Linked DNA regions of Drosophila melanogaster. The protein of the gene in region 1 interacts with the protein of each later gene in a pairwise test. Each region holds a gene or a part of one and is shown on either strand. Other genes may lie near its edges. The genes, in order: CG42288, CG12963, CG32204 and CG33143.

Region 1 (3,311 bases):
CCCAAAGGCAAATCACTTTGAAGTGCAACCAAATAAGGAAAGAGCAAATTAAGCGAATAGAACGGCTAGAAGGAGATCTCCCAGTGGAGCGGGAGTAGCTTCGTTTTTTTTTCGTGGACCGTGCGATAGAAAGCCGTCAAAATTACGACATACCACCCACCCACGCCCAAAGTCAAACAGAACCCGGCCAATACGGACGCCATGTCCGGGTCGGGTGCGTTTGACGATGAGCCGCCGCCGGAGCCGCGGGACGGATGGCTACTGGTGCGCATCCATGTGCCGGAGCTGAATGTCTACAAGTGTCTGCAGTTCCCATCGGAGCGGCTCGTTTGGGATGTCAAGCAGCAGGTGCTCGCCTCGCTGCCGAAGGTAAGTCGGTCACTGTCATTACCACTGCGATACCCATTGTCTTTTCGGTGTATATAGAGCACGGGCATGTCTCATGTGCGCTAAATACTCACTAAACGGGGAGAAATATGTACATCCGAAATGGGGTCTACTTCACATAGTATGGAGTTCTGCTCAAGCGAAATTATGATCTGTATTTCTGTATCCTACATGCATTATTTTATTAGGCACATCAAATGCTTGCTCAACATACTAAAATTTGTAAATATCATTATTATTACTATTATTACACATAACCGGTTTCCAGTTCATCTTCGTAGGCGAAGAGCAGTTCTATGTAGTAGGACCAAACCACCAGCCAGGCATACACTAAAAGTACTATAAAACATTAAATAGTATACTTAATTTAGGCTTTAGATTCATGATTATTGGGGGTACCCACACATTGTGATGACAGTCAGGATGATGATGATGGTATTAAAGCTGTAAACGGTCAGGGCAAAAATGTGCACAATTATCCAAATGGGTGTGAAAACCAAAAATGGCAGGAAGAGCATCTCGTTGTTCTACAAAATTATGAGGTATTATAAGCATATGCTAAATATATTGGGAATATTTATAATAGACAGATCACATACATTGTGCACTCCCAGGCAGAGCATGGCCGAAACTATGATGCCGAAGAAGGAGAAGACCATGGTGGCCTTGAGGGCCGCCGGTGCTGGGATAAGGGACCTCTGATACTCGTTCGGAAAGATGCACTCCATCATGAAGCCGGTGCCGATGGTGATGTAAATGAACCAGGTTAGAAAAATGCATCCGAAGAGCAGCACACCGAAACGCAGGGAATAGCAGTAGCAGCACTTGGTAAAGATCTGCTTCAGATATTTGCAGCGACAGGCCATGATTGATCCGATCCTCAGCCGCACTGCAAGTTTTAAACAACAATTTTCAAAGCTTTCCTGAGAAACTGAAATTTGTTGAAAATCTAGTTTGTATAAAAGGGACACACTGAAAGAAGTAAACTAGATCAGTTAAATTCAGTTACACGTTAGTTTAACATTTATTTTACAACTCATCAAATTGAATCGTCAGAATCCACACTGCTCAAATATCGATAAAAAGCCAGCACTATTAGCAGGGAATAAACGAGACCAACTAGGGGGTATGAAAATCAAGACATTATTCAGACATATTCAATCAAAAATGGCCAACACCCACCTATGATGAACACCTGAACGGCCAATATAATCGGCGAAGGTTTCGACCTGGCCAACTGGACAACGGCCATTAGGAAATATAGGGATAGTATAATTGCATAGATGATAATCCACATAAGGACAAAGCCTCGCTTGCTCTGCATTTGTAATGTTATAAAGCATTAGAATCTTGAAAGAAACCAATTGAATCTCTTACCTTCGAAGCAGCATACACAAGGAGTATAGAGCTCAGAGTTCCAATTGTCAGGATCGGAGACATGATGACGGGTGCCCACCATTTGTGGGACACTTGCTTGATGAAAATGGTGTCATCCGAATGCGTTATCAGCTCCCCAACGTGAAATGTTATGAAGATGGCTCCAATGATTATGCAACCCACGTTGAGGGGCAGGAAAAAGCAGCACTTTTTAAAAAACATGCCGCTACAGAAATTTGTGATTTTTTTTTACATGAATTTCGCCCAAAACAACAGAATGCAAGGAACAGTTGATCGTAAAATTTTTGCGTTAGTTATTTAATATTTGAATCAATAATAATCTTGCACTAAGATTAAGGATCAAAATCCTTAAAAGACACAAATTCACAATCAAACTAAATGCATTTTGCATTGAATCACACAAAAAACCAATTACTGTGGAATCGCAATGCAATTTTTCAACAGATGTTGTTGATTGAAATTTTTATGCAGCCAAAGGCTGACACGTGCCCTTACAACATAAAAACGACCACGCCCCCTCAGCCGCCCTCGAATGGCTGCCAAATGGCCCTCGTGAAGTTTCAATTTTTGAAGTTCAATGCAATTTATCGGCAACTGCAATGTCTGAGGTCGTGCGCCCAGTTGGAAATCGTGACGCTGCAGATCCAAAGATATTTGACAATTGAATGGCAGTCTGTCAAGGGGAGGCAAAAAAAAAGTGTCAGTCACAAGGAAGGTTAGTTTTTCAATGGCCAACAGATTAGGAGAACTACGTGTTAACATATTCACATATGTTACTTAGTTTGAAATATGAGTAAATGCGTGGTCAGGGGGTCAAGATCAGCGGTTATTTGCCCTTATAATGCCGTCAAATTACTCACCGAATGAAAGGCACTTCCCCGCTCCTTTGTGCTAATGAAAGCCAAACAATGGTCAATCAATTGTATACATTTAATCGCAATTTGTTGAGCAAATTGCTGTCGAAACATTGTCAAGCGTAAATGCAATGCGGGGGCCTCGCCCAATTCAATATTGAAACCGCAAAATTGCAAACGGAAACTCTGGGCGATACCCAAACTGAAACCGAACTGGATTTGAAATCACACTGGTATCGATTCGAATCGAACTGAACTGAACTGAACTGAAATGAACTTCGCTGAACCGAACACAATGACCTCCAGCTAATTGCATGGCCGGGTCTTTCGTGCCGGTTCCGTTTTCGTTTCGGCCAATTCAAATTCAGCGCGTCAAGTGACAGACATTGCCTTGTTTTTGGCTTTTTGGCAAGGGGGCGTGGCCGCTCTGGTTCCACTGTCAGCGTGCAGCTTAGTAAATTATGTTGTAAATTCTGATCGGTTGTGTGGGAACCGAAAGCTGAGCGTGCTTTAACCATTTTTTGGGGATATTTGTTTGTGGGGAATAATATCCTGAGTTACATAAGCATGCAATGTGAATTGCGATTAAAGTTTATGGAAGCATGTTGTTTGTGTTTTGTTGAAAGATAGCAAGGGCTAATTAAGTTGTTCATGCTGCAAACTAAAGAATAT
Region 2 (7,184 bases), 1.5 Mb from region 1:
TTGTGCATTTTTCGTTGGATATTATTGTGTTGCGAACTTACGTACAACTATTTATTATAATCTTACAAGTGTATTTATTCTCTGTAAATAGCTTTAGATCCCACGAATACCGTTTATCTATGTGATAGTCTACAACGTTTTGCTGAACTCCACCTATAATTTATTTCCTCGGTATTCACACTGCGCTTAGCTGTATAATTGTTGACTTCTCAATACAAGATGAAAAAACATATACACATATTGATAACTAATTACAATAAATAAAACTTGTCTACCGTAAGCTTTAAAATCTGCTGAATCTAAGGTTAATAGCCATACGGTGGCAGCGGTTAATCGTATGTAAATTAGAAACCATTACTTTTTCATTTTTAAATAATGTCGATTACACGATTTCTGAGTTTATGCTTTATGGAACTTATTTATTTTTGATAAGAACTGATTTTTCATGATTCATAGAACTAATTTATTTTGTATTTTACCATTAAGAACCGATTTTTATATTGTACTTAATCATGAACTTTCCCAAAGTTAAAAGTCATTATTTTCAATTAAATAATTCACTTTAATTTTCATCCTATGTCCTAAAAATATATATTTACAATATGCGACTCCTAATGTCTAGAACTTAAATAGGTATGTACTCAATAAGATCACACAAGTTCATTTCTGTACTGAAAGCGCACACAAAGTGGCATCTGTGTGGCCCAGAGTGGCACGGCGAATGCTTCAGTTCCAATTTATCCATGCCTCCGACGGATCACACCGCTGTCGTTGGCAATGGAGCAGGAGGACCAGATCCGGAGCTGGGTGGAATCTGTGCCGCGCGGGAGGTGGATGGCTCCATCGGTTCCATTGCGATGACAGTGGCTTCTGCGGCGGACGAGGAATGTGGATCTGTCTCCGAATACGGTGGCGCCGGCAGTGCCGCGATTCCAATGGGACTGGGTACACCGAGGGGCGATTGGGGAACAGGCATTCCAGCCGCTGCTGCTGTGGGAGTGGTCAGGTTACACATGCGCATCACCTCGTCGTAGCTGGGTAAATCCTTTTCATCCTTTTCCAGTTGATCGCGAATGCGGTTGGCCTCCACGCTGCCGGGTTCGATGAAGAAAATGTCGCCATAGCGGTTCGATGAAGGATCCTCCTGTGCGTTGAATACATTACGATCTGAAAATAGGTTAAGAAAAATAAGTGAGTAGTGAATAGTGAATAGTGAAGTCTTTAAACATATAAAACTCATAGGACGAATGATAAGAATTTAATTAAAGATTACTTGATTACATCATATTGATATTTGGGTAATGTCATTTAAAGGAGAGTTGTTTTATACACTTCGAAATATTTGTATATGTGCAGTTTGATTAACCCACACAACAACCTTGTTATTCGTTAATTAATTAAAATTGGAAACACTGCTCTAAACACGACCTGATAAGCACATTTTAAATGGGCTTCTAAAAACGAGTTGATTAGTCATATTAGCACTCCAAATTTCACACACACAATAAACACTTTTGAGGATAATATTTCTACCAGTGTGACCCAAATGGGCTATGTTCCATACCAGCTTGTATCTGGCGACGATTTCGAATCCTTGAGTCGTGCATTCGCTTGGCCAGCTAACAAATAGATAAATCAGTTATGGGCTTCTTTACTTCAAAGCCATTAAGATAAACTCAGCTTGCAGGATTAACTACATACGTATATAAGCTGGGCCACCGCGAACATGCAAAACACAAAGCCCAGCGCGACGCTCAGATTAGCTGTCAGACCCATTCCGCAATTCTCGAAGACTGGCCAAAAAGTAATCGCCCGAACCTAACCGATTAGATTGGCTTCCTGCCCACTTTCGGATTGGCACACGTTACCAATTTCAATGCCGTATCGCTGACGATGGTGCTCTGGAATCCTCTGCTGACGTCGACATCGCGGCTGGCAGATCTTTGCCAGAGTTTGGCTCTCTACGCGGATGTAGTAGCAGGCCAGCGGTAGTACGCAGAAAAAGAAGAACACCAGGGCCAAATAGATGGCTATGTGCAGGCCGAAGCCGCTGCCCCAATCCAATGTCGGCTCCGATCCGTGCATGATGAGACTTAGAACGACGCGGAGCAGGAATCAATGCCGAACTACAGCCACCAACTGCGTTTTGTAGACACTAGTATTACCCATAGTTCGCCGTTCAGCACGCAATTGATTAGTCGCCCAAGATTAGATTGTCCGCCATGTTTGGTTGGCATTACCCCATAAATGTTACTCCATATATCAGATATACCATATATACGGTCCGGCGGTTTGCACACACAAACCAAAGCCAGTGTAACTTACGAGAATCTATTCGATGGTTTCGATGTCTATAACACCAGCATTTCAAGATCCAAACAACAGCGAACTTTGGGGGAATAAGAACAGAACTTGGTTACCAATCACCATCGAAGGGATTTGCTGAATCTAAGGATCACCTGTAGGGCTGCATAGGCCACGATGCCGATCAGCAGGCGTAAAAAGAAAGTGGCTATGAGTTCCATTTTGCAACGAGCTCTCCAAAAGACTGACCCCCCAAAGTTACTGATTTGCAATATTAGCAAGACGTTCGAAATCAGCTTATCACGAAAGTCCACAAAACAAACACTCTAGGCTTTATGGATTTATGGTAGCACTTGATCATCAAACCCACCCACACACAGTCACTGTTTGTATCAGTTAGTCAATACATATATAAAACCGTCAATACATCAATACATCAAGCCATCAGAGGCAGTTCAAGCCATCAATACATACCAGTACGCTGGCGTTGACGTTGTCGTCGACGTCTACGTCTTACCGGATCTTGAAATCCCCGAGGATTGGTTCCACAGCACTTGTTCAGAATAATCCATAGTATAAACTTTTGGGGGAATATCAAAGAAGTGATGAGTGAAGGACTAAGGAAGGAAACTTATATCCCTCGCTTAAAGTTAGGTTCAAAAATGTGGTGGACAGATACCTGAAGAGCGAAATAGACCATGGGCATGATCAGGAAGAAGATAAAGAACAGCCCCACATAGAAAATAAAAAAATCCATTGTGTCAATACCCGCCAGAAAAAAACACACAATCGAATCACTTGAATGGCGAGTTAAAACTGAGAACTCTGCAAAACGAATTTCTAGCTAATCTTATCTGGGCCAAGAAACCCATCTGATTGGCCAAGTATCTATATATATACCGTCCGATAGCCACCGAAAATAAGTCAAATTTGGCTTGTTTTGAATGAAGCGTACCATGTCGGCGTCTGCGACTCCTGGAATCCCTGGCCTCGAAGCACACCCAAATGCAGAATCTCAGGCAGCAGAAGGTGACCGCACAGGAAATGAAGGCCAGGAAGAAGAACACCAAATACGGCGGTATATTCGACATTTTGTGATCCGAAAATTCGGTATATCCACGTGGATACGCGAGCACCGGCGATGTTATTCGCTCCATGAAAAGGCCTTAGGCCAACTGTCATAATATGGCGCGTCGCTAGCTTTTGGCCAAGACTTATCGGCGACTGGGAAGAGCGCGGATCGCGGGAGCGGCGGACAGGTGTGTCAAGGGCCATGTGATAAGCGCTCGACGCACAGAGTCCGATAAGATACGCCTCGCCACTATCGCTGTCTCAGTCGGGCGGCGTTCTATTACCTGTGTGCCAGCTGTAAAAGTATCTGTATCTGACAGATATGCGCATAATTACGCTTTGGATAATGTCATCCGGGCACGTGACAGGCGAAAGTCGCGAAACTAATTAAGGAAGCAAATGTCACATAAATCAAATGTTCTAGATTATACTTCTACAAGCACTTGAAAATTATATAGATCGTTTGGAAAACTTTTTTTTATAAACAATTGTAAATTTCTTGCAGTGCAAGAACTATTCTGATTATCAGATTTTCTGTTATTTAATAGATTGGGGTAGATAAGATTTAATTTAAATTTTTATCTGTACATGGTATACTTAAAGAAAAACAAGTGTCTAATAAAAAAAACATGTTATATGATATTTTAGAAAACCGATTAGTTTGCGAATGGAAAATTGGTATTGAAATATATTCATAATTTTCTCTCTTTAAATTCATTCAATGCCATGTTCAAAAAATCAGTTGACACTTTGAAATCTTCCTAATTAAGTAATTTCTTATACTCATTGAATAATAACCAAATGCTTCTTTCTCATGTCTTACAACCCATTATTGTAAATGAACATTATAAGGCATTGACTTTAGCCAAGCGTAAAGCAGCGAATATAGCTGAATGTGTAATTAATTCATAGCGATTCATTTGTAGACAGACAAAGGAACATAATTTAAAGGGCGGAAGAACATTTTCGCCATCAAAATGAATGCCACAAATCACTGCGGGCCACCTGAGCTGCTCACCTGGCGTCCAACTGAGACGACTACTCAATCCCGGCGACGAGGGACACGAGGAAACGAATCTGCTCAAGGGCGGGCTAACTGGCAATCTCCTTCGACGCTTCTGGGCTACACATCTCTGCAATTATCTGGCGGATTCACTTCCATTTGCATTGATAGCCACTAGTTTTGGGCCAAGAACTCACACTGATGGAAAAGTATAAAATCAGCAGGAAGAGGAGCAGCAGGACACCGAACTCGCACCAACGGAACTGGTCGCCCATTTTGCGGAATATCTATATGGCCGAACTGCGACCGTACATCTGAATAAATTAACGCTACTGTCGAACATTGGGAATCTAACCGAACAACCGAACCCATCGATAAGGGAGGCACCATAGATAACTTTATCGAAAAACGCTTGTGACTCATGGCTGCTCACCTGTGCTGAGGGTTACTCCTGACTGATCGATTCTATAGCTGTGCAGAACCCTTCCGGGCTGTCGATTTGTTGGATTCTCCCCAGGACCAGGACCTCGTCCTGGACCACGACCACTTGAGCTGGTTCGACTAGGAGTCTTTTGTGTGGCGCACAGACAACAAGCCTACAGGGTCAATAGGGGATCGTTGTCATCAGACAGGGGTTGAAATTTTGCGATAAATCACTTGAGAACTTACTCGAATCAGTATGCATACAATTGAGATTATGAGGAACCAGCCAATCATCATAAAAGCGTAATAGGGCATTATGAAATTGAGAACTTAAGACCGGAAGTCCAGAACAGACAACAGCACCGATTTACCACCGTTCGCCGCGCACAAGAAACCTTGCTGAAATGGCAAAGGCAATGCCACTCATTGCTAACAGCCTAATCACCAAACAAAACCAAATCGCACATACAACCCTTATCAATCGGCATACAATTTTGCGATTAAAACTAGGCATACACGCGCACAGCCAACGCAATCGGTGGTCTCAATCGGGCTGAATCGGGACTTACGCACCTGGGGATTGGCCCCCTGCCGAAAAGCTTTCGGTATCGTAGTCCCCGGAGTTGATGTTCCTTCTGCTCTTGTAGCACAACTATTGGGGGTAAAGACGGTGATTAAAGTTATAAAACACACCAATCAAAATCAGGAATATAACTCTATTACAGTATGGTTTGCTCTTGAACTGTACGAAAGTCATGATTATAAGCATATTTAAGGTATATCAATCCTCAAAAGTAATAACGGAAAAACCAGAGATATGAGTGTAGTAGTTATTACAACATTTGTGATACAGCTTACTAACTTACGCACCTTGAGATAAATTACTCCCGACATGGGAATTCCCTGATTTCATGTTATTCCTCACGTTGTAGCACAACTATAAAAGCAAAAACAACCGAAATGCCTTTGAAAATCAGGAATATACCCCACAGAAAAGTGGCAAAGGACTCTCAGAATTTACAGGATTATATAAATATTTAGAAATATGTTCAAAATATGTGAAGCTAGTGTGTGCTCTTCAGCTGTTAGAGGAACATTAAGATATATTCCTGATTTTGAAAGTGCAGACTTACAACAAACACCAGGAAAAATAATAGTGAAATGTAGAATATGTCGATCGCTTCCATTTCTCGAGATGGATTAAATAAGACTGTTGGGTATTTTTCGAGAAACGACGTAGAATGCGATTCAAGTTGTTGGCCCATATCTTGGAGAACCCCCATCGAATAACAGGCATTATCTTATCGGCAAAGCTTTTGCAGCTTTTTTTCGCCAAGTTATATAGCCAGAAAAGCCTGGATCTTACCTTCCATGGCCAGGCGCAACATCATCTCATGGCGCAAAAGTCGGGCATAAACCCGCATATTCCACTCGTCGATCTTCAACTTGATGAACAGATAGCACTCCTTGGGATTGGGGTGATTTGACTAATGATATCTAATCAACGTTGAGATTTCAACCTACCCGAGCGAGTAGCAATACGAGAATGAGCACTATAAATGCAAAGAAGCAGACCCCTACATACATTGGACCCAACTGGACCCTAGCTGGTGATTTTGATAAAAAAAAAAAAACAATAGATTCTCTCAAACTAATTTGGAAGACTTGACTAATAGAAGCGGAGTTACTTGGATAAACTCACCAGATTCGTGCCGATATTGCAGGCAGCAGACGCACTTCCACTTGTGATTGGGACAGATATAGGCCTTAATAAATGTTGAATTAGGCAAAATTCTACAGGAGGATAAACCAGCCACACTCACCCTTATCAAAATAAGGAATATCAGAATGAAGGATATAAAGTAATACACCTCGACGAGATCCATTTTGAACCGAGTCTGGGAAATGTGTGGCAGCAAATGAGTCGAGGACCACGGGAATACGAAATTAAGACCCGGGAAAATTGTGATAAAGCTATTTCGATAAACAAAGATAAAGTCAGCGTTGCATCAACCTGACAGCTTGGGTAATTCTGCTGGGCTATCAGATAAGCAAATCAGAGCTAATTATAGCCAAAGGCAATAAACCTGGCATGTGCGACCAGTTACGAGTTAGTTATCAACTGTATCTCTAAGCCTATTTGTGTACTATACAGCTCCCTCTCACCATTTCGTGTGTCGTTGGTCCGCTCCGATCTAGGCCTGTAATCACTGCTCTGGCCAGCTCTCTTGGCCTTGTGGTAGGCATTCGAAAGGAACTGTTTTGGGATAAAGAAACGGATATCATGTAGTGCCCACTTCCGGCTCGAGCGTTAGCTACTCACGACTATAATGAGAATGATGACCAGAAGCACCACGGAAAACGAACTGAACTCTGCACCCAT
Region 3 (4,564 bases), on another chromosome or scaffold:
CAGCACTGCGTGAGTTTCGAAAATTTAAGTGCACAAAGTGCTGTCAAGAATTAAGATCCTGACACTTTCGGTCGTTATTTTGTTCGTGCTCTTTTTATGGTTTTTATAAGTTCAGAAGTGGTTAAAACGCATTGTGTTTGGGCAAAAAGAACAGTGAAACTACTTTATTAAATCACCTTAAGTGAGAAAACATTATGCTTCTTTACTCTGAGATCATAACGCGTTATATTGGATTTACTTCGTATATTGTTATATTGAATGTGAAGTGCATTTACTTTGCTTTTCGATTTTCTGCCGAGGACACATTGATCCCTTTTCAGTGCATAAGGACTCGGTGAGCCCTCCGAAAAAGATTTGCACTTTAGTGCAAGGAAGTGCAGAAGACAAAACTTTTGCACGCTATTTTTATTAGTGCCCCAGAGAGAAAAAGTACAGTTGAAAGTCTGCAAAGCATTTTTCTAGATTTCCATTCTGATGCAGTTTTCGCGCACTTTTTTCTTAGCCTCAACAGAACTGAACTAAACTTAAACGCATTGGCATCCGTTTCTGGTCGAAAGCGGTTTATTGCTAAAGAAAAAAACTTAAATAAAGTGGAATTACTTGTTTCAGGGGGTTGATGCCAAGGATTCTCAGGCGCTGAAAGTCGAGTCTATTCCAAAGAAGTATTTTGCATATTCATTCTGCGCTACTTTGTCGCTACTTGAAAATTGCGATTGACGGGCCAACTCTTGAGTTGATGGAAAAGTTTTCGGCCCAAGGACCCCGTGCTTAAACCTCTTCTTTAACAGATTCAAGCTTTAGACTTGTCTTCAATTAAATGTTCTTTAAAACGAATTCATTGCGGAACTTGTAATATCTGGAGCATTACCCTGAATAATTCAATAAATATTTTCATTTCCAATTATGGCAAATGGCGTAAGTTCACTGGGGATTTTTTTGGTCATTAAAGTTTCCCCCGCCCGAATTAATTGCCCCTAAAACTTACTGGCAACACAAATATTATTTTATGTATTTTTTCGGAAGCCAGCGTTGATATTAAGAAAAGTTTGCCCAAGAGGCGTGGCGCATTTTCGTTGGTGTGGCCTGTTCCACTAATGAGCCTATTGTTCGGCAGATAAAACGTGGCTAACTTGGGGCCCAGAGGAACAGGAAATGGCTGTTGTTGTTCCCGAAGTTGTTGGCATTAGCGGAAGGGTTGAGCTTCGGGCGGGAAAACTTTGGTTGGCCAATATGGGTGGGCAGACTTGTAAGTTTTCGAAATTTAAATATGTAATTAGCTACTATTTATTTCGATACAAGAACATTTCAACGAGCTCTTATTGTATGTTTTCTAAAGTTCAAACTTTTTATATTAAATACCATTAGCTTTTAGATTTTAGATTGGCAGTGTGCATATAGAATTGTGAAATTTGCATTCACATTTTCTTTGAAGTTAATATGACAATCAAAGTTTGTTTTTATAATAATACATATTAATTATATATTTCATAAGACGATGGCTTTATTATCAAAGTTTCTCTTTAATCCCAAGCATTTCGAGCTTGAGTCATTTCCCTCTCATAAACGCAGTTAATTGTTTTCAGTTTGCATTACTATTAGTTTTTTATGAACTTTGCCAGCAGCTGGCAAAACAATTTGCCCGCTGCCTTGTCTATCTAGCATCCATTCAGCCCCATTCCGCATCGCCCATCCTCTTTTTCCCTGGCTCTTTTTCTGTGCGAAGGGTCCTTGGTGATCTCCTTTAAAAACGAAAAGGAAACTGAAATTGTAATTAAATTTTTGCCAATTCGTTTAATTGAGTTTTAAGCCGCAACTTCTGAATGCCCGAAATTGAAAGTACCCTCCTGCAGACCCACAGCCACTTCTTAAACCACTCTCTCTCTGGTGAACTGCTTAAATATATTTGCCTGATGTTGGCTCGGTTGTGGTTCCAATAATATTTTTTATACATTTTACGACCGCTAGCTGCGACTGTTTGGGCCGTAATTAAGTGCGTCTAATTTGTGTTAAGCGCCGTGCCACTTGAGCATCGCTTTTACTTTTCGTGCTCCAAATTTATTTTTTATCCCAACCTTGGTCCTGCGTGCTTAACTTAAGCCCATACGTTCCACCAGGCCAACAGTAGCTGCAAAACTCAAAAGACCCATTTCGGAGCGGGCTAAAGGCAGTCGAAACAGGGCTTTAAAGGTTGTCTGGGTACAAACTGCCGTTAAATTGCCACTTCCCCCTGGGATTTTATACCGTTTTTTTTTTTGTGAAATGGAGGCAGACGAAATAAAACATTTTTTGAGTGATTTCTGTATGTGATTTCGGTACGCTTCGCAGAATTTTGAACGAGTGTTAGGGGCTGAAGTGCATGAATATCAACTTTTAAATGAAAAGGTATTTTGCACTTGTATATTTTGAAGAGTAAATGAAAGTGATTTTGAAGTGAATAACAGTTGCTGAAGACCTTAGATTAAAACTGTAAAAAACTAAGGACTATTTAGCTAGGCTTATTTGTTGCATTTGTTTAGTAAATATGTTGTGGATTAATCCTTGAACATTTATAGGTCCTACCACTTTTACTTTTAAGCTGCCATCTGCTTAATTTTATCTCATGGCACATTAAAACTTTTTCTTCTTTCAGCATTTGTTACCTTCCTAATTAGCGCATTTCCTCTGGGGTTTTTTAATTTGACTCAGCTTCTATAGCTCTTTTTACGCTTCTTTTGACTTACCTCATTTGTGGAGCTTCGGTTTATTAATTCACCAATTGTAAAGTTTATTTGAGTTTCACACTTTGCACTAACAAAACACTTTCTGTTTGCTTCGCTCAGTTTTTTTCTCCGCGCAAAATTAATTGTATATCCAATTTGTTTATTCCCACTTTTTACCGGCGAGTTGCGGTGAGAATTTCGTCTGTTTTCTGAACTGTTACTTTCATATATTCGGTCTTGTTGTTTTTGATTGTTTTGGCTTTAATGACGAACGCAGCTCTCGGATTTTGCTGCTGTCGTTACGCGACCGAAACGGTAACTGCTCGAGTTTTTATCAGTGCTCTACGTTTATAAGGAAAATCCGAGTGGAGCTTTTCCCGAAGAGCTTTCCTCTGGCGAGAGCGTCGGAAAACGAACGGAAGAGATACATTTTGACCAGTTTTCATGTTTAGACCAAATCACAGGATACCTTCCCCCTGTTTGCCGTCAATTGTTTTAAGTGCAACATATCGAAGCCAAAGTCAAACACAAACATTTCACATTCTTGGCAGCTTGTGTTCCACGCTTCCTGTTCAAAAAAAAAATAAGGAAAATCGGAAAACGGAGGCAAACAAAGTGCAAGGAAACTGCATGCAAATGATTTCTAGCTTATAAATTATGCAGGTGAGAAGAGCAAATAGTGTCTGCCAAAAACAGGAGAAGAAAAGTTGGAAAAAGTGCAGCAGCCGCAAGCAGTCGAGCAAATAAACTTCAATTTATCTCGACGTGAGTTTTGGTTTCTGACGGTTCCATATGGTTGCTTTTCGTGGTCTTTCCTTTGTTTTATAGCAAGGGTTTTGTTAAATTATCTGGTAAGAGTAATATAAAGCACGAAAAAAATTTAAAGTACGAGTTGGCTATCTGTTTTTTATAGTTCTCTATTTATCTACATAATAAAAGTTTTCAAAAATGGAATTATATTGATGTTACTACTTCCAATAACATTGTTTTTTTTCGAAAAAAAAAACTGGATTCAGAGTGTGCCGGAAAACGTACAGTTCACTTACAAAAAACAAATTATTAAAGTTGAACTTTCTCTCTGGCTCCGTAATTGAACGTTTCGGTGTGCATTTTGAGCGGAAGCGGAAATGCCGGCCATCGCAAAAAGTAAACCAGCGTGATGGAAGAGGCCAGCGTGTTTTGCCACTGGCGATTTCGTTTCGGCCTCGTTCCAATGTTCTTACAGGCTTTCGCCTCCTTGTTTTTGTGGGTCCACAGCTCCTGTGTCATATGCAAATTCCAATTCGTGAAAAACAGACGAGGGAGGAATATGAAAGGTCGGGAGGAGCGGTGGCAGCGAGCTAGGAATATAAATATCGATTAGATAATATCAAACTAGATGGCAGGCTGACAAGGACCTTAAGGCGGCATTGAACTTGTCTCGCCGCGAGGGAGAAGGAGCGAGTGTTTCCGGTCTCTTCATCTCCCTCTCGCGCTCTCTCTCTCTCTCTTTCCACACAAACACACTCCAGCAATTGCCTTGCATGATTTAATTATTTGTAGCATACTTTTGTGCGCCGACCAAAAACTTCACACCTGAATGCACAACAAAGTGGGGGGCTCAAGTGGTTCATCGGCCGAGTGGTGCAAAACTTTTGCCACTTTTGCCACTTTTGCATTCAGGGCGCTGCAGAGCACAGAAGTTGTTGTTGAAGGACCTCCGAACCTCTGCGGTTTTCGGCCGGAGGATCCGGGTTTTTCTATGCGAGCCCGAATGTCTCAATTCATTTTACGCCACACTGCGCCCCAAGTGGAGCGCACCATGCAAAAAAGGGCTGCCGATGCGGGTTTCGGGCCACGGGTTGTGGGATACCCCTCAATCTGTA
Region 4 (4,722 bases), 8.5 Mb from region 1:
CCAACATAATAAGGGTTTCCTCCGGCGGGCGGGTGATCAGGGCCACCGATCTGGAGTCATTGGTAAAGATCATCTGCTGTATCTCCGCATTGCGATGGTTGCTCGGCAGCTCCAAGTGACGTCGCTTCTTCAGGGTGGCCAACTCATAAATGGATATATACCGACCACTAATAGAAAGTTAAAAAGAGTCCATTCATTTGAACTATGTTAGGTTGAGTTATATAAAATATAAAGCATCTGAAATGAAGCTCTTACTTTTTCGAGTGCCTTTCCACCACCGCCAGTAGTTTGCGATGCGAACTTATGGATATCACCTCGGGTCGCGTATCCTCCGGCAGCCTGCAGGATTACAAGGGTTAAGATATTCCTTAACAGTTATAAAACGTGGAGTACCCACCTGAGAAACCTTTGCTTGTTTTGGACGTAGTCGTGGAACGCTAGAACTCCCTCCACCGGATAGATGACCTCCTTGGTCAGGTTGAAGTGGATGTTGCCAATGACATCCGAACGCAGTCCGTAGATGAGACGTGGCCTTATTGTCACCGTGCTGTTGGAAAGAGAGGCTCGCTTCACATCCTCCTTGTTGGCTTCGTCCATCCTCGTTGAGTGTTGTACAAAATATATGCACTGAGACCCGGGATTACAATTTTAGCTGGCAGACAGACAAATTGGAGGAACTGAAATTCGATCAAACAACCTGGGGCAAATCGTTAGGGAGTCCTGCCAGCGACAGCAAACTCCATGGCATCCATGGGAAGTGAGAGTGAGAGCCTAACAACACCAGGCTCTGGGTCTATTCCAATCTGAACGGAGCCGCGAGCGTCCATGAATAAGTAATTAAGCGCCGCTAAGTATGCTTTTAATTTAAACCCTCGAGTGACAAGGGAGGGGTCTGTGATGAAAGCTAAGCGCTTGATAAAAACAACATTGAAATTTCCGCCGAAACCGGCGCTCGTTTCCTGGCCAACAATAGAGCAACAGCCACACCGTCGCACTTGAACTCTGTCAATGCGCTTTTCGCTGAATATGGGTCTGCCAGTCACTGTGTCACTCTGTCAGTCAGTCAATCAGCCAGTCAGACAGCCAGCCAGTCAGTTGGGTCTCCAAGCATTGTGTCATCCCCCAAAATCCCCACAAGTAGTTGGCGGCTATCGTCTCCTTGGCACTGCGAACACGACCTAACGCAAGAAATTGTTAGTTAAAGAAAAGCTGCTCGGCCCCTCTTCAGCTGGGAAATTCTTGGGAAAGGGGGAAAGCTTTTGTGTCCACAATCCTACAAGTTGGATATGCCGAAAATGGTTTGAGCTCTCCCAGTTGGGGAAATAAATTGGGTGGGGAATTGGCTTGATTAATGGTTTTCCTTTCAGACAACACAATTTTCATGTGTATAAAGTATTTAATAGCAGTATTGTCCAATAGAATAATTTCAAACTCAACTACGTTGGGGTGAACTTTGGCGGTACTTTTGTGATTAATAGTTATTAGAATTAGAAAAGACATATCAGAAAGAAAATTTTTTTAAAAATATAACAACAATTTCAAATTTGTCTGTAGTTCATTAAAGATTTCCATCAAGTACACCCCCTTCGAATTAGCCATAAAATAGTCAAATAAGCATCTCCAATCCGTGCACCGCTGTCGTGGAAAGCTTTCGCTCTTTCGGCTTTCTCGGTTCAGTTTCGTTTTCATTTTCCGCTGTCCATTTCAGTAGTAGTTTTCGCGTCGGCCGCAGCACAACGAGCAAACGGAAACCGGAAACGGAAGTGAAAGCAAGCGAAAGGCAGTGGCTCCAAAGCACAGTTAATCGGGCAGAGAGCCGAGTGCAGACAACAGTCAACTGAGAACTGAGCGCAGTGAAGTGTTTGTTTTCGCCGTTATCAGTGGATGCACGCCTTTCCACCTCCGATTGCGAGTAGGGATCGGGCCAGGGACTGGGATTCCGAATCCTCATCCGCACTCGCATCAGCATCCACATCGGATTCAAAACCAAAATCAGTATTGTATCCAGGCTCGCGACCCGCACGGAGGAGGCGGCGAGCCGGAGAGGCGTGTCACTAGCAGGTGGCCGAGCCGGTTAACCAGAGTCCGACGGCAAAAAGTAAATAAAAAAAAAAAAGAACTTGTAAATTGTGTGACAGTACATAGCCTTTGAGGGCTGAATTGTGTGTGTTTTGCAGATTTCAAACGTGCCGCGAGCTGTTAAAACTTTTGTTTGTCCACTGGACGAGAGAATTTCCACACAGTTATCATTTATCTGAAGCAATATTTTTCTTTTTCATATATAACAGATAGTTGGAAGCTAGTTTATACTCAAAGTTACATTGTAATTAATATTATTATTGATCTAGAAAAACTATTAAATGGCCTTATAGCACTTTTATTGTTCTCTATCGATTTACGACTTGGCCGAATACTTGTCTGGTTATTCTCGAATGATTTGAAAACTATTTTGAAACAATCAATGCTTGGGCTTAAAAATAACTTCGTGCCACAGTTCTTACAAATGTGAAAGCCATCGGATCTCCGAATTTCTTTTCTGTGTGTACATAAGTAGGTGTGCTTGTGATTCTGTGACAGTCGCTCAATTAACAGTGAAAACTTCTGAGTCCTGAGTCCTTTGCGGCTGTTTTCAAGGAGGCAACTGAATTTTAAGCCAATTAAATTGCGCAAATCAGAATCGGAACTGGGAAAAAAGGGAACGGAAAATGTGCGATGAAAACGCAAATGAAATGGAATGGAAAATGGCCTAATGGACTCTGTCAGCCAGCAACTCAACCTGAAAAGCAGCACAGCTGTGGCAATTAAAAAGTAATTTTAATGCTCCTGTTTCGTTTGTTTTGCGAAAACAGGCAGCGAATTCACAATTAACCTGTGTGTTTTTGAATTTTTGTGTGGGTTAATACCTCGCCCTTGCACTGCTGTAAATCTTTTTCATCTCTCAATTTCCCCTGTTTTATTTGGCCATTCGAACCGTAGCGAGTCGCACGTAGTAGGTTATTATAAACAAATCGTTCTCCACAAAGAATCGTATATGTATGTATATATGCATATTTATACCGATATCCGCACATTCACCGCAACTAGAACAGGTCAAATGAAAATCGGATCGGCGGCAAAATGCCCGGAAAACGTAAATGTTCGTTTAAATTTAAATCCGTCGCAACCACAGTCGCCGCATTGCGTGCATTGCTCCACCATGTGGCAGTACATCTAGATATATGCACCGATTCTATATATGTTTACATATATATATATATTAACACGACTCGCTCCCCGTATTTGTGGACTCGCACGAAGTCGAGCAAAATGCCGCAAAGTTTGACCGATTATAAATGGAAATTTCTTCATCGCTGAAAGTTGTTTGTGCTCATTAGCAATCTGTAAATAAACAAAATTTCATCGTAATGGAATGAGTTTACGCATAAATAAAAACAGCACGAAGAAATCCATCAAAAAGTCTAAAGAACAACGTGAAGTTTTCTCATAATGGAGATCATAATAAGCTGAAGTGTACACACATCGAAAGCTATTATTTTGATTATCCCATAAAAACTTGAGTCCAATCAAAAATTCTTTCTTTACACGGTCATAAGAATAAAATTTGGAATGAAATGTTTACAGGTAACTTAGCCATTCGAACTGAGGTAATCTAATTGGCTTGTTAAATGCGAGAAGCATAAACTATTTATCTTGTCAATGTATTTTTTTACTATTTTACTGTGCTAAAAAGTTTATATTTTTCGGAGACTGTATTTTAACTTTCAAACTTTTCACACTCAACTGCGCATTGCGGAAAAGAAAAATCCTGCAGAGAATCTGAAATGATACCATGTTGAACTTTCATTGTTGCAATTATTTTTTTATCAGCTCCCATCCTCGCGAGCTTTAAGCTGAAAGTAGTACTCAATTAAAGCCAACTTTAGCCTCCCATTACGCGCTTAATTTTTTATCATCATCCTTGGCAGCCTGTTTCCCGCATTTCCCCCAACTCTTCACTGCACTCCTTTCATCAGCGACCTTCCCCACATCTTCTGTTCCCAGCATACCTGTGGAAAATCTCGCCGAAATTGGAGTCAAGTGTTTTCCCTTATTTTCTCTAGCCTTTCGTTTTTTGTTTTACCGCCAGGACATAATAGCATGCGCCCGCCCTTTCTTTCGCCATCTCTTTCGCTCCGAAACGTTTCACTTACACACACCAGTGCTCGCACTTGTACAAATATACACTCTGCACTGGGAAAAATTTCTTATTGTTCACCACAAACTCTATTTAACTTCAAGCAACACTAAATTATAGATCATGACGTGCTGGGTTTAAATTTCAGGTCATTTCCTAATTTAAAATTTTTTTGAAAATTTTACTCCTAATACGCATAAAACATATAATTTAATAATGAGCTTATTTTAAGTTGCAGTTGCTGAGACACACACTGATAGGCTTTATATGGCTCTTGGACTGGCATTATTGCTCATCCGCCATGTTGGCTTGCCAGTTTAGTCATTAGTTCCAGGTCAAATGTTGACTTTTGAGCAGTGTGCACCGGTGTAAAAGCTGAAGCGCAGCACACACAAGCCTTTGCCCCGGTATTTCCCATTTTCTCCTAGCCCTTTCCTTTCCTCTCCATTCCATTCCTTTCCTTTTGGCTTGGCTCTCGGCTTTCGGGCTTCAATTGTAGCGACCAAGTTGACCTTTTTGTTAATAGCGCTCACACACCGCGCCACACG

Evidence for each region.
Region 2: the proteins of CG42288 (region 1) and CG12963 interact in a two-hybrid assay, tested with the Drosophila melanogaster proteins (one large-scale study listed by BioGRID).
Region 3: the proteins of CG42288 (region 1) and CG32204 interact in a two-hybrid assay, tested with the Drosophila melanogaster proteins (one large-scale study listed by BioGRID).
Region 4: the proteins of CG42288 (region 1) and CG33143 interact in a two-hybrid assay, tested with the Drosophila melanogaster proteins (one large-scale study listed by BioGRID).

The regions. Positions count from the first base shown.
Region 1 is NT_033778.4:14,089,051-14,092,361, reverse strand, and holds CG42288 (uncharacterized protein), read right to left. Parts: upstream 1,332-3,311; 5' UTR 1,254-1,331; coding exon 987-1,253; intron 915-986; coding exon 791-914; intron 727-790; coding exon 635-726; 3' UTR 548-634; downstream 1-547. Other genes in the region: CG42287 (uncharacterized protein), read right to left, coding at 1,427-1,506, 1,570-1,705, 1,765-1,986; prosap, read left to right, coding at 202-369.
Region 2 is NT_033778.4:15,555,798-15,562,981, reverse strand, and holds CG12963 (uncharacterized protein), read right to left. Parts: upstream 5,308-7,184; 5' UTR 5,271-5,307; intron 5,197-5,270; 5' UTR 5,117-5,196; coding exon 5,048-5,116; intron 4,975-5,047; coding exon 4,812-4,974; intron 4,713-4,811; exon of another isoform or gene 4,654-4,712; coding exon of another isoform or gene 4,576-4,653; intron 4,509-4,575; coding exon of another isoform or gene 4,394-4,508; intron 3,746-4,393; exon of another isoform or gene 3,462-3,745; coding exon of another isoform or gene 3,260-3,461; intron 3,123-3,259; exon of another isoform or gene 3,062-3,122; coding exon of another isoform or gene 2,984-3,061; intron 2,885-2,983; coding exon of another isoform or gene 2,779-2,884; intron 2,551-2,778; exon of another isoform or gene 2,526-2,550; coding exon of another isoform or gene 2,460-2,525; intron 2,390-2,459; coding exon of another isoform or gene 2,326-2,389; exon of another isoform or gene 2,086-2,325; coding exon of another isoform or gene 1,869-2,085; intron 1,807-1,868; exon of another isoform or gene 1,777-1,806; coding exon of another isoform or gene 1,702-1,776; intron 1,620-1,701; coding exon of another isoform or gene 1,565-1,619; intron 1,168-1,564; coding exon 758-1,167; 3' UTR 546-757; downstream 1-545.
Region 3 is NT_037436.4:18,943,013-18,947,576, forward strand, and holds the start of CG32204 (uncharacterized protein), read right to left. Parts: upstream 3,027-4,564; 5' UTR 2,721-3,026; intron 1-2,720.
Region 4 is NT_033778.4:22,612,624-22,617,345, forward strand, and holds the start of CG33143 (uncharacterized protein), read left to right. Parts: upstream 1-1,704; 5' UTR 1,705-2,098; intron 2,099-4,722. Other genes in the region: tous (testes of unusual size), read right to left, coding at 1-167, 256-339, 398-597.